2 linked regions of the Oreochromis niloticus genome follow. The main gene of each other region encodes a partner of the protein of the gene in region 2 in a complex. Links are inferred from orthologs where the notes say so. Each region holds a gene or a part of one and is shown on either strand. Other genes may lie near its edges. The genes, in order: pes and bop1.

Region 1 (9,260 bases), on a different chromosome or scaffold from region 2:
GGAATGTGGATCACATTCAGCAGAGCACAAGTCTACAATTTATAAATTCACATTAACACATACCCCAGTTTTATGTCTCAATAAAGCAGAGGGAAAATAAAGTTGACTCCTGCTTGAATAACAGAATGCATTGTCTTTATTACTTTGATGAAGCCAGGAAAATAATGTACGCTGTGCTTTAAAATGACTTTACACGGTAAAGCTGGATTTAGAGGTCACATGGGACGTGGTTTTTTCTGAAAAGCATCAACAATGCTTTCGCTATCCTTCCTGGAGACATTGTGTGTAATTTCTGCTATCACCACATCTTCCTCTTATAATAGCAGTTTGAATCAACTGACAATATGATATGGTTTGATGGCCTTTCGTAAGAAAAAGTCACCCAATACCACAACTAGACCATTACAATACAGCCAAACCAAGTTTCAAACGCTCAGTGGCAGAGAGAACTCGGTCCTCTCTGGTACTATACTTTTAACAAAGATCTAAAGCTGTTTTATCCTGGATGGTTTAAGTGAATTTATTCTGTTACTCTGGATAACCAACAAGCCTCCTTTCAATGTTATGAGGACTACAAACAAAAACACATCAGAGGTCTTTTACACTTTTTAAAACAATGTGACTCACCTCTAAGTAACTTTCAGAATTCATGGCATAGTCATCCTCACTCTCTTCCTTTGGCTCTGATTCTGCATTACTGTCCAGCTGCAAAATGAGAGGCGATATTAACCGATGGCAGGTCTGCTTACATATCACCAGTTTATAATGAATCCTTTTTATATTACAGTCTATGATACCTTTGGTGGGTAGACCAAGTTGAGAGAATTGTAGAGCCTGAAATTGACAAAGCCCAGCAGAGTGGTGTACAACTCTGTGAATGTTGCCATTACTCTGTAATCAACATCAACGGGGTGCTGAAAGGGAAACAGATATTAGTGTGACCAAGTTTCAGAGGTACATTTACAAGTGTGAGTTCAATCACAGTCACTTCCAACATAATTTTTTAGTATATTCTAATTTTAAAAACACACAAGCTGCTCACAAGTTAAAGCCATAAGCAAATTCAGTTTTCTTGTTCATAGGAGCCACACATTTCTGATTCTTAATGAGCAGGCAAGTCATTAAGGACAATTTTTTATTTACGATGTTTGCCTGGCAACCTATGTTATAACCCCACAGTAATAAAGTGACTGCTTATTATTAGCACTGTCCCTGTTGACTGCAATTTGCCAAACTGCACTTACATCATGGGAGAACTGATATGGCACCACCCATGTAATGAGCTGTCCCATCACCTCAGCCTGATAATATATTCCCTTGATGGAGAGGAAAACCTATCAAAGTAGACAAACATTTAGTGCATTACAGAACACAGGTCAATCAACTCTCACTGAGTCAGATCAATAACAGGCTGGTGAACTTGCACCTTTCGCAGAGAACGTGATGTGATCACATAGTTCATCCACTCCACAGTGAGCCGTTTGCACAGCTGGATTGTCTGCACATGACATTTTCCTGTTCGAGCAAAAGTGGAGAAGAGGAAGCACATGCAGAGGGCATCGTCGATATCACGGAGGGCATCAATGAAGGTTGGATACCTGCCAAAAAAAGAAGCACAAACAATATTTGTGAGGTTTTGTTTTTGTTTTGTGTTTTTAACAAAAACATCTTCCCTTTCAAATAAAAAAAAAAAAATCTGTTAAATTTCAATTAAAGCTTTAAAAAAAATCTACTGACAGACTACTAAAGATCCTGTCCTACTGTTACCCTACAATTTCAATTTAATTCATACAGTGGCAGAGAAAAAAAGATCAACTGTGCCCTCTTATGTTCAGTGTGAAGAATAACCACCCCACCTTTCTTTGATGATGTGATCCAATTTATAGGTTGGCTTGTTCTCTCTCAGTCTTTCCACTGCAGACCACTCTGTTTTTCCATAAGCCTTCTTAAGCTTACGCACAAATATCTATAAAAAGAAAATAACACAGGTACAAAAAAAGACTGTCAACCAAATTTAAATCAAACTATAAAACAAAGACATGATGAGGAAAAACTGATTAAAACAAAGTGTTTTAAATATCCTTTTTGTAGAGGTAAAGCACACTAAGGCACTGGTTTCTTATGTAAGATACCTTGTACTCTCTGAATTTTCCAACAATTGGCTCATGGAGCAGAAAGCGGATGTCCTTGAGCAGGTAGAAGGTCCTTGGGGCTGTAGAGCCTTTGTTCACCTTCTTCTTGTGCTTTGGCTCATGAGGATATATGCCTTTGAGAATGCAAAGTCGCCTGAAAATCAGAGAAGAGAAATCATTTGTCTGCAACAAGGTTCCTTTCTGGGAAAGCCTTGCAACTGGAAATCGAGATTTGGAACAAACTTGGAGAAAAGTAAGTTGCTGTGATGTAACAGAAACAGAAACTAATCTGGTGTTTATAAAAAAATCTTAGTAATATTGGCATGGAGAGTAACATTTTCAAAACCAGGGATTTATTTTGAAATTACCAGCCACTGCCAAATATTCTGATCACATTCACTAAAAATTTAAGACACCTCAGAATTTTTTGTTAAATTAATATATGCACATTATATGTCAGATGTGATTTATGGATATAGTGCTGATCATAAAGAATATCACTAGGTGCAGATCCATTATTAACTACTAACATAACTTTATCTCACTAACTTGGGCGTCAATACATTGTTCCTTGTTGAAGGTAACAAGGTTTTTACTGAAATGCTAATTAAACTTTGCTTCACTTTTGAGGATGCATTAATACTTTTTGCATTTCACTCACTTTTTTCAAAGATGCGAGAAGCAGAAGTAGTGAAAGAGGAGTTTTAACGCTGGGGTCAACCATCCAAAGCAACAGTGCACAAGAGAGGTTAAGAAGAGAGTGCAGGGCAGATGGAAATGAAGGTCAGGGGTGATTTGTGGCAGACGGATAGCAGCAAGAATGACAGCTAAGGATTGCAAGATGGTAGTGAGACCTGCTGTGAAGTATAATTTGGACAGGAGGCCAAGCTGGTAGAGCTGCTGAGATTTTCAACTTTACAGTAGGAATGTAAGAATTGAGTACATCAAAGGGACTGCTAAGATTGAGCAGAGACAAAGTTAGAAACAAGGCTGGGATGGTTTGGACATGTGTAGAGGAGGGACGGTGGATGATTACTGGACAAAGGATGTTGATGGAGCAGATGTCTGGCAGGTGGAAAAGAGGAAGACCACAGAGGAGATTCATGGATGTAGCGAAGTACATGCAGAGTGTTGATGTGAAAGAGGAGGATGCTAGGGACTACTGTTGTGACCTCCAAAGCCAGGAGCCGAAAAGAAATGCACTTTTGTTTGACTCTGCACACATGTCTACCTTGTTCAATACACAGCACAGTTCAATACACAGTTTCACAACAAACAAACAAAGAAAACCCACTGAGTTGAGTTTTAAAGACTGTGTTGTAAATGGGCCCTAGCACCTTTTTCCACCCAGAAAGCGTTAGCTACTATACAATAACGAGAAACTAATATAGTGGCGTCGGGGTATGAATATATCGTGATTTAAAACACAGACAGACAGACAGACACACACACACACACACACACACACACACACACACACACACACGTGTAAAAATGCTAACTGCAACGTTACCTGAAGTCCGGGAGGCTGAGCTGCAACTTCTTTCGAGCTCTGTTTCTGGTGATGTAGTTGGTGGCAGAGCCCCTCTCAAACTGGAAAACATAGGAAGATGCTCATATTCAGCACAAACAGTATGTGTTAACAAGGCACATAAGCTCACCCGAGTCCAGGAGAATCTACTGTTTGAGAAAAACAAACTTCAGCTAGCTGTTAGCTAACTGGATAGTCAGACTTTTGGTAATAAAACGCCCGACATTACACGAACACCCACACCTACCTTTTTCTTTTGAAGACCTCCCATTTAGAGACCGTTTCTAACCCTCCACAGAGTTTTATCCAATTGTAGTTGTTTTCACAAAGTACACGATTCGCAATGTTACACAACAACGACCGACACGACACGCAGCAAATGCACGTGCGGCTTGACATGCGCGAAGGAGATGGCCCAAACAGCAGGACCCATGGGTGGGCCGTTGATCTGCCTGTTTACAAAGGAAAGCCGCAAAAGGGTTTTGGACGTGAAACATTCGTACATACACTGTATGGAAGGTTTACATACACTCATCAATGGCGTGTGCTTTTTACGGAAGCGTAGAGCTGCCACCCAGGCAAAAGAAAAATAGAAGTATATCACGTTATAACGTGAAAAGTTTATTGTTCTAACAAGATACTTTTCGCATTTGAACAACATAATATGACGTTATTACAATATACATAATTATCACGTTCGTACAATATAATATTTATATTGTACGAACGTGATATTTATATTGTACGAACGTGATAATTATGTATATTGTAATAACGTCATATTATATTGTTCAAACGTCAAAAGTATATTGTACAAACATGAAAGTATATTGTACAAACATGAAAAGTATCTTGTTAGAACAATAAACTTTTCACGTTATAACGTGATATACTTCTATTTTTCTTTTGCCTGGGTGGCAGCTCTACGCTTCCGTAATACAATAAGCGCTTAAAACAAACAAACAAACAAACAAACAAACAAACAAACAAACAAACAAAAAAACACCTTTTTATGACGGAAAGAGAAACTACCACTTGTAGCCAGTCATTATCACTAAAAATAAGTTCATAGGTCATATAAGTGTCAGCATCATTTAAGAATTAAGCGAGTGTATATGTTTAAGCTTTTTATGTTTAAGGATTGGAGAAAATCCAAAATAAATTCAAACTTGTGCACTAAGTTCTTGTTTCATCTTTAAAAGCTCAAAATTACCATCACATTAATAGCCAGGATGAGTGTATGTAAACTTCTGACCACAACTATAAGTGACAGCACTATTTTTTATTATATTACTATATATAATAAAGGTACCTGTTCGCCCTGCAGGCAGTCTTTATGCCTCAAGCTTGGGTCCCCTACCAGAGGCCTGGAAGCTTGAGGGTCCTGTACAGTATCTTTGCTGTTCCCAGGACTACACTCTTCTGGACAGAGATCTAGAATATCATTCTTGGGATCTGCTCAAGCCACTTGCCCAGTTTGGGAGTCACTATCCTGAGTGCTCTGATTACCACTGGGACCACTGTTGCCTTCACCCTCCACATCTTCTTAAGCTCTTCTCTCAACCCATGGTATTTCTTGAGCTTCTTGTGTTTCTTCTTCCTGAAAATGTTATCCTAGCAACATCTTTCACTGTGGCCATCTTCCTCTGCTTGTCCAACACTACTATGTCCAGTTGGTTAGCCATCACCAGTTTGTCTGTCTGTAACTGGCAGGCTCTTAGCTCAGTCATCATCAACCACCATGGAGGGCATATCACATTTTGACCTCATGACTTTCAGGCCATACTTGGCACAGATATTTCTCTATATACCAGCTACCTGGATTTGCTGCCATCTAGCATCTTGCACCCTGGTGTTATGTGTTGGAGTGTCTCAGGGACATCTTTGCACAGCTTGCACCTGGGGTCTTGCCTGGTGTGGTACACCATTGCCTCTATGGATCTTGTACTTAGAGCTTGTTCCTGCGCTGCCATGATTTGTGCCTCTGTGCTGTCTTTCAGTACAGCTTTTTTCAGCCATTGGTTGGATTTCTTGATAATAGACACTTCTTCTATCTGCTGGTGGTACATGCTGTATGGGGGCCTGTCCTTCCATGATGGTTCCTCTTCTTGCCCTTTCTATTTCTCATGTTTCTGCTGCCTGAGGTATTCACTAAGCACGTGGTCATTCGTTGGCATCTTCCTGATGTACAGGGGTGGTTGTAGCTCAGAAGGTAGAGTATCTACTAATTGGAAGCTTGGTGGTTTGATCCCTGGCTGCTCCAGACTACATGCCAAATATTCTTCGGCAAGATACTAACACCTTGTTGCTCTCCAATGCATCCATCTCAAGTGTAAATGTTTGATAGAAAACACTTAAGCATAGAAAAAGTGCTTGTATGAATGGGTGTGCATGGGTGAATGAGGCATGCTGTATAAAGCGCTCTGAACGCTCTGATTGGGTAGAAAAAGCACTTGTACAGTTCTAGGCATTCCAGGATCCACATGTAAGTCATTGAGTCAGAGGCTCTCTTGAAGTCAGTCCAGGCAGTGCATAGGTTGGTCGGTCTGGTCTTACAGTTACTGATCTGTCTACCAGTAGCTGTTGTTTCCCCCCCACTGAGTTTTTCTGCCAATTCCTGCCCTGCTCATGTATTGAGCCATGTGCCTGTTCATTTTGCTATGATGCCTGACAGAAGCTTCCATGTACTGCAGCAAGTTATTGGCTAGTAGTTGGATAGGACCAGTCAGGACTGTCCGGCCTTCAGTTAGCCATTCTCGTCGTGTCTCATCCATTAGCAGGTGGTTCATTTGTGCTTCAGAGATTCATGAAGGGCAGTTAGCTTCTTTAGTCAGTATCTGTGTATCATGTCAAGGCCTGGTGCTGTCCAAATCTTCATGCTTATGACCCTTTCTTGGATGCCTACTGCTGTGATGGTTACTGGATCTTATCCAGGGAGGTTGCTGTGGTCTGCTCTTAGAGCCACTAGCCACTGAGCATTATTGCTATAAGTTGCATCTCGCACATGGTCTTCCAGTACTGCTAGGTCTCCAGCATTGGTGAGGCTGTTGTTCTCATATTGTTTCCCTGCCACTGAGAGTACCTTGAATGGTTTATTCTCCTGGCTTCGAACTTTCTGGTATACCTTTTCAAGCAGCTACCCAAGGCTGTGAGTCTTTGCTTGGCAGTTTCTAAGACCTCAGGTATGGACAGGTTGTTGTACTTCTTCGGCATCCCTTTTTTCGTCACACCTTTCTGCAGGTTTGACCGTTGCTCATAAAAATCCAGACCAACACACTCTGATCAAAACCAGTAATTTCAAGCAATTAATAGATCTGCAAATTTTGACAATTTAAAACAATGTATGTGCAAAGTAAGACAGTATGTAAAAAGAAAAGATAAAAAACTAATAACAAGAAGATGAGAGTTAAAAGAGTCTTGCACAGGGAGAAACTGATCCAGGCATAAAGCTGATTTATCAGAATAGAGTGGCATAAAAAATGAATCCTGCCTTCAACCACATCAGGACCCCACCCCCTACTCTCTTGTTCACTCACTGGTGCCAGGGATGCTTGAGAGAAATGCAGGCTGGAGCTGAGAAAAAGACATGATGACAGAAATTTAAAGCTAAATATACAGATTCAATCATAAGACTTCACAAGAACATCTGAGGATATGACGGAAACATGCCATAAAATCATCATGGGGCTACATAACTTCCTGAAGGAGTATATTCATGGTTTTTGGGACTATGAGACCCCCAAGGTGATGGTGGTTAAGAACAGAACTCTTGGCGTGATTTACAGGAGTGTTCAGTTTCTTGTGATCACTTATTTCATATGGTAAGCTTCACTTACATTTGCATGTCTAATGACTGGGTGTGTGGACAATGTATGAAATTCAGGTTTATTTTGTCTTTTCTACATTTTTTCTGTTAGATCTGTTGGTCTGAATGTGTTTTCTTTTAAATTTAATTACAGTAAAATTAAAAGCATTTTTTAAATGAATAATATTCATGCAGATGAAATAAATACACTACGGCTTTAAATTTTAACTAATGCAGTGCAGTTTTGTGGGGAGGAAATGCATCCCATTTGCAATTAACAGCATAAAATTCAACTATCCAACTGAGTGTGACTCATCCAGTCTCTATATTATCAGAGATTTAAATGCTATCCAAGGAGAACAGATGTAAAGTGTTTCAGATTTGAAATAAACTAAATGCTCTGAAGTGAGCATCTGAAAGTACATCATCACCTTTTTTGTCTTCAGCAAAGAGGGCTGAGCAGATCCAGGGTAACATGACACCGCCAATAAAAATTGACATCATGGTAGAAAATGTGATATTACCTCTGTCTCTTCTATCATCCTGAAGGTATGTCTTTATAAGTCAGAAAGCATACCAAGAGAGTGAAACCCGTCCAGAGAGCTCTGTTTACACTCTCATGAAAGGCTCAGCAATTCATGGAGATGAGATCCTGGACACTGTGGAGTATGCCCGACCCTCAGAGGTGATTTCTTCATTAAACTTGTGCAGCATAGCTCATGCTTGAGTTAACCACACTAAGTCTTTTTTGTCCCTTTTTGTTTAGGGTGGCGATGTGATTAGCACAATACTGAGACGAGAATTCACGTTCAATCAGAGACAAGACACCTGTGCTGAGGTGAGAAGTCATCTAAAATCTACTGAGTAACAAAGACACCTTTTTCCTCCCATCACTGTCATCTGTCTCTATTCACTTTAGCATTTCAATGTTGCCGATGCCAACTGCACCACCGATTCTGACTGCGTCGAAGGGGAAGTCAACTTCAATGGCCACGGTAACGTTTTCACTTCTTATCTAATTTTTCTTCGTGGCTTTTTTGGTTTGTATTTGTCACCCCTTGTTTCGAAACACTCTCCTACAGGCAGAAGGACGGGCAGATGTGTTCAGTACTACAACCACACCTTTAAAACCTGTGAGATACAAACCTGGTGTCCGATTGAGGAATACGCTGTAGTACGGTAAGATGGGCGTTACAGAATCACCATCAGCATCATGTCAGGTTTATATGCATCCTTCTAAAAATCCATACAAGTTCTGAACAGACTCAAACTGAGCCTAAATATCCCAAAACATGGGAAACTAACATGAAATAAAATAAAAATTGGTGGAGCGATTTATTAAAACGTGTAAACATACATGGAAATGAAAGATACAAAACAAAACCAAAATGGTACAGTTCTAACAAGCTTGAAAGTCAATATTTAGTGTGAACACACTCAGCCAAGCTTTCTTGTAATTTCTTTAGGTAGTCTTTAGGAATTGAGAGGGCGGTGAAGAATATGTAGGATGATAGAAAAACAGCGGTGAGGTGTGTGGTAGGAGTGACAGATGTTTTCAAAGGGGGTGGGATTACATCAGGGATTGGCTCTGAGCCCTTTCTTGTTTGCAGTGGTGGGCAGACCGACAGATAAGGTCAGGCACGAGTCTCTGTGGACTATCAGGTTCACAGATGGCACTGTGATCTGCGCTCAGAGTAGGCAGCAGGTGGAAAAGAGCCTGGAGAGGTGGAGGTATCTTCTGAAGAGAAGAGGAATGAAAGTCAGTGGAAGCAAACAGAATGCGTGTGTGAAT
Region 2 (9,257 bases):
GAGAAAGGTTACCCTCATCTTCCTCTGTCGTGGGCACAGATAAAGGTCCAGGCAGCGCTCAAACCTCTCATGGATGAAATGAGAAAATGCTGGAACCTGACGGAGGCTCGAGTACTTCCTTGGAACAAACGGCAACTTCCTGTCTCCTGGATCCTGCTGCTCCCACAGTGCTCGCTGCAGACAGGTGAGGCAAGTGAGGACAGACAGACGGGGGTGTGTTTGAATGCAGTTCTATCTATCCTCTGAACATAAACCAGGTGAGGCAACGCACTGACAAACCTCCTCGTCAGTGAACAGATACTCGGGTGGTGGGTTGTAGGACTCATGGTGACCAGGTAAAGGGATTTTGGGGGCAGGCAGGTGCATCCTATGTCTGGCCAGAATGGAAGAGTCCTCGCTGGCCCACAAGTCGTAATACCGCCCCCTGCCATCATCCTCTACCCGCCGGGGTTTGAGCCAACCCATTTTTATGGCATGGACCAGTTTGGACACCTGCAGTCAGACAGGTGTGTTACAGAGTTACAGTTACAGCTGAGAGCAGCCAGGTAAGCCAGGTGAGTCAGGTGCATTACCTTCTCCTTCTCTGTGAGCGAGGGGATAAAGCTGCGTTTGTCTGCCGGTCTGTTGGTGATGGGATGAATCATCACGTCGCTACTGAAGAATTCTACCATTGGCTGCGGAAGAGGTGTAAAGAGACAGGTAACCAGTGTGTTCTACATTTTTAAGCCACGCTCACTTCTTGCTAGATGGTCTGGGACATGTGGCTATTAAAGGATGGATTAAGCAGGTAAACTCAAGGCTAGTGAACGGAACCCCGGTGTCACTCTAGGAGGGCATACCTCATACTCATTGAAGTTGACGTCTCCAAACTGTCCTCTCTGCAGACGGTTCACCAGCTCCACCTGATCATCGGACAGCACAATGTCACTTCCTGTCTGCTTGTCATGCACTGTTCTCCTGCAGACAGCAAGCTGTTAGCTTCATCAGCATTCCCTATCAAACCTATGAAGAAGTTAGCATCATGCTAACCGCTCACCAGTACTCTGGGTTCTCCATCTTATCCAAGAAGTCATCAAGCTCATCCTTGTTCCTTATTGGCTTGTAGATTTTTTTCCCATCCAGATTGTACCCAATGTGAGGGAAATCTTTGTACCACTCAACAGGAATGTTCCCCACTGTGTTCCTGATATCCTGAAGGACAATGTGAGCATGAGAAACCACCACAGGATGGAGAGGGGAACATAAAAGAAGCCAATGCACCAATCAGAACATGTGTAAAGGAACAAGTATCCTGTACAAAACATGTTGTATTGTACCCACTTTAACAGGACAGTTGACAGGGGTTTGTCTTAGTTATGCTCACATATATCACAAGGCACATCCAGCAACACACAACACAGCATAACATGAAGCAAAATTCCAAAGGAACAGATCAGACATATAAAAGCAGTGTAGTCCATAAGAACGGGGTGGATCCATCTTTAAAGTGTGCTTTAGTGCGTGAGGTTCACTTTATACTCCAGATGCATGACACACAACACTGATGAGGGTCTAGAGCGATGTGAGCCAGATGCTTCCAATCTCAGTGCTGAAAGACCTTCATAATAACTGCAGTGAGAGCAGCAGGCCTGAAATCACCTTTTTCCCCACAACTGAATGCAATTTTATTTATGTAGAACCAAATCACAACAACAGTTGCCTCAAGGTGCTTTATATTGTAAGGTAAAGACCCAACAAAAACAAAAAAGAAAAGAAAACCGCAACAATACCCCTATGAGCAACCGCTGTGAAAACAGTGGGAAGGAAAACCTCCCTTTTAACAGGAAGAAAACTCCAGCAGAACTACGCAGCATTTAATAAATAATAATTAAATGCAAAGGGGTGTATAAACACAAAGTGAGTGAAAAAGTTGACTAAAAAAAAGAAACAATGGGAATCCCCCAGCAGTCTACACCTATTGCAACATAACTAAGGAAGGATTCAGGATCACCTGATCCAGCCCTAACTATATGCTTTAGCAAAAAGGAAAGTTTTAAGCCTAATCTTAAGAGTAGAGATAGTGTCTGTCTCCCGCATGCAAACTGATAACTGGTTCTATAGAGGAGGGGCCGGAAAGCTTAAGGCTATGTCTTCCATTCTACTTTTAAATACTCTAGGAAACACAAGTAAGACTGTAGTCTGACAACAAAGTGCTCTAATGGGGTGATATGGTACACTATAAGGTCATTAAGATAAGATGGGGCCTGATTATTCAAGAACTTGTACGTCAGAAGCCGGATTTTAAATTTGAATATGGATTTAACAGGAGCCAATGAAGAGAAGCTAGTACAGGAGAAATATACTCTCTCTTTTTAGTCCTTGTAAGTTCTCTCACTGTAGCATTTTGGATCGATTGAAGGCTTTTCAGGGAGTTTTTAGGACATCCTAGTAATCACAAATTACAGTAGTCCAACCTAGAAATAATAAATGCATGAACTAGTTTTCATGTCATTTCATCACAGCTTTTTCAGGCTAATAAAAGGTCAACATGAAACAGAGAACTCCAGAGCTTCACCCAGGATCTGTTGCATATAGACATGAGTCTACAACACTGAAGGTAAGCAGCTACCGAAAGGTTTAAGGTGGAATGGTTTCTTAAGTGAGCTCTCATCATAAACCAAACATCAGAACCTGGTGCACTGACCTACTAAGCATCAAAGATACCGTCAGCTGCATTTTCATTGCAGTATATCCATCGATCAGTGAGAGACTCATAATCACTGACTCAATAACCACACACAGACTGCAGCAAATTCTGGCCAGAGACTGGCCAATTATGTGTCCATCGATCCACCCCCACATGCAAACACACACACACACACACACACACACACACACACACACACACACACACACAAAAGAGCAAGGACCAGGAGCAAAAATCTCCCAGCTTTTTATTAGTGTGCATGTGGCTAAAATTGCATACAATACACCAGACACAGGCATAAGAAAAGTAATGACAAGCATACACATGAATAAGTTTTGATCACCTCTTCATCTGAAGAGTCATGTTCATACTCATCTTCCTTCTTTTCTTCACTCACTTCTTCCTCCGTTCTTTCCTTCATCTACAGATGGAACAAAGTTCAGGTGATGTTCTGCAGCAGAACACTGAGGACACTTAACAGCAACCAATCAGCAGTCAGACAAATACAGTTAAAACTTAGCTGCTGACACTGTACCTTGTCATCATCATCATCCTCCTCCTCCTCCTCGGATCCCTCTTCCCCCTCAGCGTCACTCCCAGAATCCTCCAGGCCTGAGTAGACACTGTCCTCGCTATCTGATAAATCATCATCCTTATCTTCATCAGCAGGTTTCCTGTTAAAGTTGAAGATCTGAGAAGGAAAACCCAGAATTACAGAGACACAATTGAAAAAAAACATCAGTTTTTGGCTGTGAGTGTAATTAAAAATAAGAAAAATAAAACCTACAAATCATTAGCACAAGCTAATTGCCTGTGCAATCTGTGAGTGATCACACACACACTTAAATCAAACAACCAGCAACTAAAAGCAAAACATGAAAAATCAGGAAAACCTTCTGTACTCTGCTCAGGATTGACGTCACTCAGTGCAACACTAACCGTACACATGTACCCTGACACACTACCTGCTACAGTGCTCGTTCCGTTACAGTTTTGCTGCCATTTACGTCACTGCTTCCATGTTGGATCGTTAGCTCTGGGTCGGTGAGGTTGCTCCGACAATGCGAGTTAAAATCTAAGTTGAGGAGGTCTTCCTTTTAAAACTCCGACATTATAATAGAGCCCTAACCCGAGGCTGACATCACACATGTGCACAGAGGATGGTTCTGTGTTTATTTTAGAAGCAGCAACGCCCCGGTCCGGTCTCATGGTTCAGGTCTCGCTCCGTGTCTGCTCTGAGGGCTAAACAGCAGCCTGCCCCGTATTAGCATGCTAGCTCGTTACTAGCACGTTACCAGATCTTCATCACTTTCCTCCTCTGTGTGTGTGGCTCACCTGGTTCTGTTCCTCTTCCTCTTCTTTACTCCTCTTCAACGCAGTTTTCTCCCCTGCTTTCTTCATCTCTCCTCTCCGCTCGCTCCACGCGTTTCTGTCCTCCTCGATTCAACCACGTGAAACCGAAGGTTAAAGGTCACGCGTCACAGGTTGAAGGCGGGGCCTGCTGATGACGCCTTGAACTTCTGGCAGAACGTCATAGTTACAGTGACAGGACCTCTGCCGAAAGAAAATCCGCAACGGAAAGAAAATAAAGACAAAGAAATCATGTTTATACTAACCGGAAGTAAAAAAAAAAAAATCTCAATGTGAACATGAAGTCATTTAAAAGCGAGTAAAGCTCAGTGACTGATCAAGCCCATGGACCAACCAGGTGTTAATATGTCAGTAAGTCAAAGCTTTTAAACCAGGATATGCAGTCATCCAAAACACAATAAATCTGAGCTGACAATCTCTGAAGCGTTTCTTCATGTTTACATTAGTTAACGGTTGCTGAAATCAAAGGCTAAGGCCCTCACTTCACTCTGTCTTCACACAGGAAGAAAATCCGCTGAGACCGTATCCTGCATCCCGCATCCTTCCATCAGGGGTACTTCAATTCTTGTACAGCTCCACTTTTCATATAATAAATCCCATAACATGAGTCTGCACATGAACCTGAGTGTCTGTGTGTGTGATTTTATTTCATATGAAATGTTCTAATTTCCTGATCAGATTACAATCAGACTGTCCACTCAGTCTCTCAGCTACAAAGATGGAGAATGGAGATTTGAATCTGAGCTGCTAATCAATCACTGATGGAGTCGTGGTCCCTGTCCTAATATATTGATGACTGATTCATTATTAAAGCTCTTGTGTAACAAACTAACATCTGTGTTTTTTATTGTTCGTGAAACTCGAGCAGATGAATTCTCTCCACTCTGAGCTCTGATTTCATGATTGAGGAAATCAGTCACAGGGTCAGTTAGCTGGTCCAGGTGCAGCAGGAGGTGAGGAGTCTGAGGGAACAGCTGCCAGAGAGCAGGTCAGGTTCACAGAGCTGAAGGTGGATCTCTGCGTGGAACAGAAAAGCTAGTTTCAGCTGAGGATTAAAAATCTCAGAGTTGTTAGAAAAAACTGCTTCCAGCTGCAGGCTGCAGGTCCAGCACAAAGTGGGTAGCAAAGGGTGTGTGTGTGTGAGTGTGTTTGGGGAGGTGAGTGCTGCAGCACCTCTGAGGGTTCACAGACAACAGATGTTCTGTTCTGCAAATACTGCATCTGTTAGTGACAAATCTCTCTCTCTCTCTCTCTCTCTCTCTCTCTCTCACACACACACACACACACACACACACTAACTCAGTTACTGACACACATGCAGATATGTTAGATAGAAAGCACTTAAGCATGTAAAGCTTATGAGTTGCTGTATGAGGCATATTGAGTGCTCAAGTGCAGTAGAAAAGCGCTTTAGAAGAACCGGTTCAACTAAACACACGGCCATATGTTCACTACATAGATGTAGTGAATATTTGAAGGAAGTTCGGCTCTGTGATTAATGAAGTGCCTTGACATCTTCAGGAAACAGGAAGTTCACATAAACGAACAAATGACAAAAACGGCGGGGCCATGTTAGTGACGCCACTGTCAAAGGGGCGGGGATTCTCTCTGCGGTCTGTTGTTGTTGTTCGGCTCGACGGAAGCTAAAACCTAACAGCTTCGCACGGAAATGCGCTCACGACTTCTATCAGATCGACAGTAGTGCTGCTGACTCGGTGAAGGTCCCGTGAGCTCGGATTGACCCGGTTCGCCCCCCCCCCCTCTGGGTCGGATGACTCTGTCCCGTTAGCATGTTGAAGCTAACGGGCCGGTGTTCTTAGCGTCAGCCTGTTAGTCGGCAGCTAGCGGGTCTTTGTTTCCGAGCTAACCGAGGTTCTTCGCAGTATGTCCCGCTGCGTACCCCCCGCACAGCTCGATTCCGCGTTAACGTCACGTTCAGCGGCTCGCGTCTGTGTTAATTGAATGCCGGGTTTATCGGGGAGCTCCGTTATCCTCGGTAGCCGCTCGGTTCGGAGCCGAGGTCTGCTAACAGCTGACATGCAGCGCTCAGCTCTGTGACCTTGGACTCTTCACCATTATCTTCATCAGAACATCAGGGTTATCATGGCCCTCAAAACAGACTGCAGGCAGGGTGTGGTTTGCCTCCTCCTCCTCACAGGTGAGTGCAGACTGACCTGTTTTCAAGTGTGTACACTTGTGTTTTGTTCTGATGACGCCGGGTCCGGTCTCTTTAAGACTTCCCCCTTCCTGACAACTTACTTTCTCTTGAATAAAGTGGTTCTGGAAGATTGCAGGAGGGCAGAGCTGTACACCTGTAACCATTTAAGGACAGAGTATCACAAGCTAATGTTACTTAATTTAATGTTTAACATGGACATGTGGCAAGAAGTGATTGTGGGCACTTATTATCACCAAGATTTTATGTCCCAAAAACCTGGACCTAAATCTGTAATATTTCACAGTACAGATCTTACTGCACCATCCAGTCTGCTCTGAATCCACCAGTAGAGAAAGAGGAAGTACAATGGAGAGGCAGATGTGGAAGGACAGAACATCTAGTGGTGGCTCAGAACAGCTGGAAATGGCTCTTACAGATTACTTTACATTTGGTCTGCTGTGATCAATGGACAGGTGTCACTACAGTCATTCTTCATTTCTTCTGTGTAGTAAGCATAGCAGTTGGCAGATATCAATCAGTTTCTATTAAAGCTTGAAGATGTTGAGCATGGTTCAGTAATAATACCAATCATGATAATGAAACGGTCTATGTAAGTGATCAGGGCTTCACAAGTATCTTAACAGGGACCACCTTCTCTTAACCACTTTGGGCTGGAGTCAGAATGACAGGCTGGTACACCTGACTAGGTTCCCTGTCCGTCACAGGGCTAGCACTTACCACCAATAAGAATCACCAGTTGACCAGCAAGCTTTTCTTTAGTCTGTAGGAGAACAGATACCACAGAAAGGACAGGAAGTCTGATCCTTCTTCCTGTAACAGCTGTAACCACTGCAACACTTGACCTTAGACTGCTTTATGACACAACTACACTAAAACTGGCATAACAGCACCCCTGGTGGTCAAACTTGTAACATTTGATTATCATTTTTTGAAAATTAACAATGTTGAGCATTGGCCAGCTATTTGACCCTGCAAGATTGAGCATTCTTTAAGATGCCAAATTTTCAAAATAGAGTCCTCCCATTAAGTATCATCTGCTATCTTCCTTCAACATTTTATCCATCCTGTTTAACTTTATGTCTTTTTTACATGTAACATTTAACAAGAACTTGCTGGATGTAGAACACTGTGTTGAGACCACAGACAGGATAAACGATGGCCCAAGCTTGTGTATGTGAAAAGCAAAACATGCATTCTTTTTTCTAATGGTCACCAAGGCCAATTACCTGTAGTTCTATACAAGTCTGTGTGAAACCTGACCTCTGACCTCCGTAAAGATGTTCCCGATTAGTTTAGGGGCTCAGTCACTTGTTTGAGTGATTTAAATATGAAGTCCTGATTACTAAGGATATGCTAATGACTGATTGGCAGGTCATTAGCCAATGATGCGGCAGTTTCACAGTGAGCTCCAGCTCTCACTCTTCAGATGTGGTTTTAAAACAGCAAGATGGCTGCAGCAAAAACTCTCAAAGCTTCATAATATAATTGTAAACTGATTGCAAAAGTCCTTATCTGACCTTCAAGGGGGACAGAGGCAAGCGTTTTCATCACACTGTCAAGCCATTTTTATAAAAAGGGTGGGGATAATCTGAGTCCATGATCTAAACATGTACAAATAAGCGGCTCATGAATCAGCCTGATCACCTGGCATACTGTCTCTGTGCATGGTTTTCCAGCTGCACAGGAGCACAGAAGAGAGCATTACGCAGAGTTGTACAGGTTGCCTAGCGGATAGTCAGATGTCCTCTCCTCCTCTTTTCTCAGGAAGATTAACAAATTCCTTCAAGACCCATCGCACTCTGGTCATGTACTGTTTCAACATCTACCTTCAGGCAGACATTTCAGATCCATAAAGACAAAAATTAACAGACTAAGGAACAGCATTATCCAGCTGTTCATCAGCTGTATGTCACCCTGTTATCAATATAGCTGGGATAGCTCAGTAGGTAGAGTGGTGGCCCCATGATCAGAAGGTCGAGGGTTCGAATCGACTGAACAGCTACCCTGAGGTACCCCTGAGCAAGGTACCGTCCCTACACACTGCGTACCGGGCAGCCAGTGGCTGCCCACTGCTTCACTGAGTGAATGGGTTAAATGATGAGAGGAAATTCTCCACGGGGATCAATAAAGTATACATTATTACATTATTATTATTATATGAAATCACTTCTAACCACGTGTTGTTGTGTTTTTTTTCCCCAGGATGCTTTTCTGCCTCTCAGAGGAATGAAAATGTCTATGTGTCAGGGATTTCTAATGGTGAGGTCACATTCATGACATCAGAGCAGCACTAATGGCACACACACACCCACAAACACACAGTGTCACACTAACAGTCCGACCCTGCCCCCCAGCCTGCAGTGACGTGGCAGAGCTCCTGCGGGCATCCAGCGGTATAATCACCAGCCCCGGATGGCCCTTCCAGTATCCAGCCCGAATGAACTGCAGCTGGAATATCAGGGCACGACCTGGAGATGCCATCACCATCAGGTACTGCACTTACTGTCTCCATAGTTACACCTGCCACATCCACATCAGGTCACAGAGTAAAAAGCAACAACCAAATCCTCATTTTAACCCCATCTTTGCTCTCATGATGCCCTCCCTGTTCTGTCTTTGCAGCTTCCAGGACTTTGACCTACAGGGTTCCCATCGCTGCACCTCAGACTGGATGTCCATCAGCAGCTACAGGAACCTGGATGGACTCCGGGTTTGTGGCTCCTCCTTGCCACCACCCTACATCTCCTCTCAGGACCATTTGTGGATCCACTTCCACTCGGATGACAGCCTGACGGGAAAAGGCTTCAGACTGTCATACATCAGCGGTGAGGAAACGGGATGTGGTATTGGTGATGTAACTGGAGTAGAGGCTATTCCTGGATGGGAAACAAGTAAGATTTGTTGTGTTTGCAGGTAAGCCGCTGGCATCCAGCTGTGATGTGGACCAGTTCCACTGCTCAAATGGGAAGTGCATCCCAGACTGGTGGCGCTGTAACTCCATGGACGAATGCGGTGACAATT

What was found.
Region 1: bop1 (region 2) and pes share a complex: the UniProt entries of both Homo sapiens proteins name them as parts of the peBoW complex. The link is inferred for Oreochromis niloticus from reciprocal best matches to the Homo sapiens genes BOP1 and PES1.

What each region holds. Positions count from the first base shown.
Region 1 is NC_031977.2:17,856,515-17,865,774, forward strand, and holds the start of pes (pescadillo), read right to left. Parts: upstream 4,103-9,260; 5' UTR 3,935-4,102; coding exon 3,911-3,934; intron 3,726-3,910; coding exon 3,646-3,725; intron 2,287-3,645; coding exon 2,133-2,286; intron 1,967-2,132; coding exon 1,857-1,966; intron 1,599-1,856; coding exon 1,427-1,598; intron 1,335-1,426; coding exon 1,245-1,334; intron 915-1,244; coding exon 798-914; intron 706-797; coding exon 628-705; intron 1-627. Other genes in the region: p2rx2 (P2X purinoceptor 2), read left to right, coding at 7,318-7,484, 8,018-8,153, 8,235-8,306, 8,388-8,463, 8,551-8,647. UniProt on the Homo sapiens protein: Component of the PeBoW complex, which is required for maturation of 28S and 5.8S ribosomal RNAs and formation of the 60S ribosome.
Region 2 is NC_031985.2:36,129,752-36,139,008, forward strand, and holds the start of bop1 (ribosome biogenesis protein bop1), read right to left. Parts: upstream 4,200-9,257; 5' UTR 4,088-4,199; coding exon 4,022-4,087; intron 3,378-4,021; coding exon 3,222-3,377; intron 3,108-3,221; coding exon 3,030-3,107; intron 1,192-3,029; coding exon 1,037-1,191; intron 958-1,036; coding exon 840-957; intron 675-839; coding exon 573-674; intron 493-572; coding exon 280-492; intron 175-279; coding exon 13-174; intron 1-12. Other genes in the region: lrp12 (low-density lipoprotein receptor-related protein 12), read left to right, coding at 6,161-6,215, 8,439-8,495, 8,591-8,726, 8,859-9,061, 9,150-9,257. UniProt on the Homo sapiens protein: Component of the PeBoW complex, which is required for maturation of 28S and 5.8S ribosomal RNAs and formation of the 60S ribosome.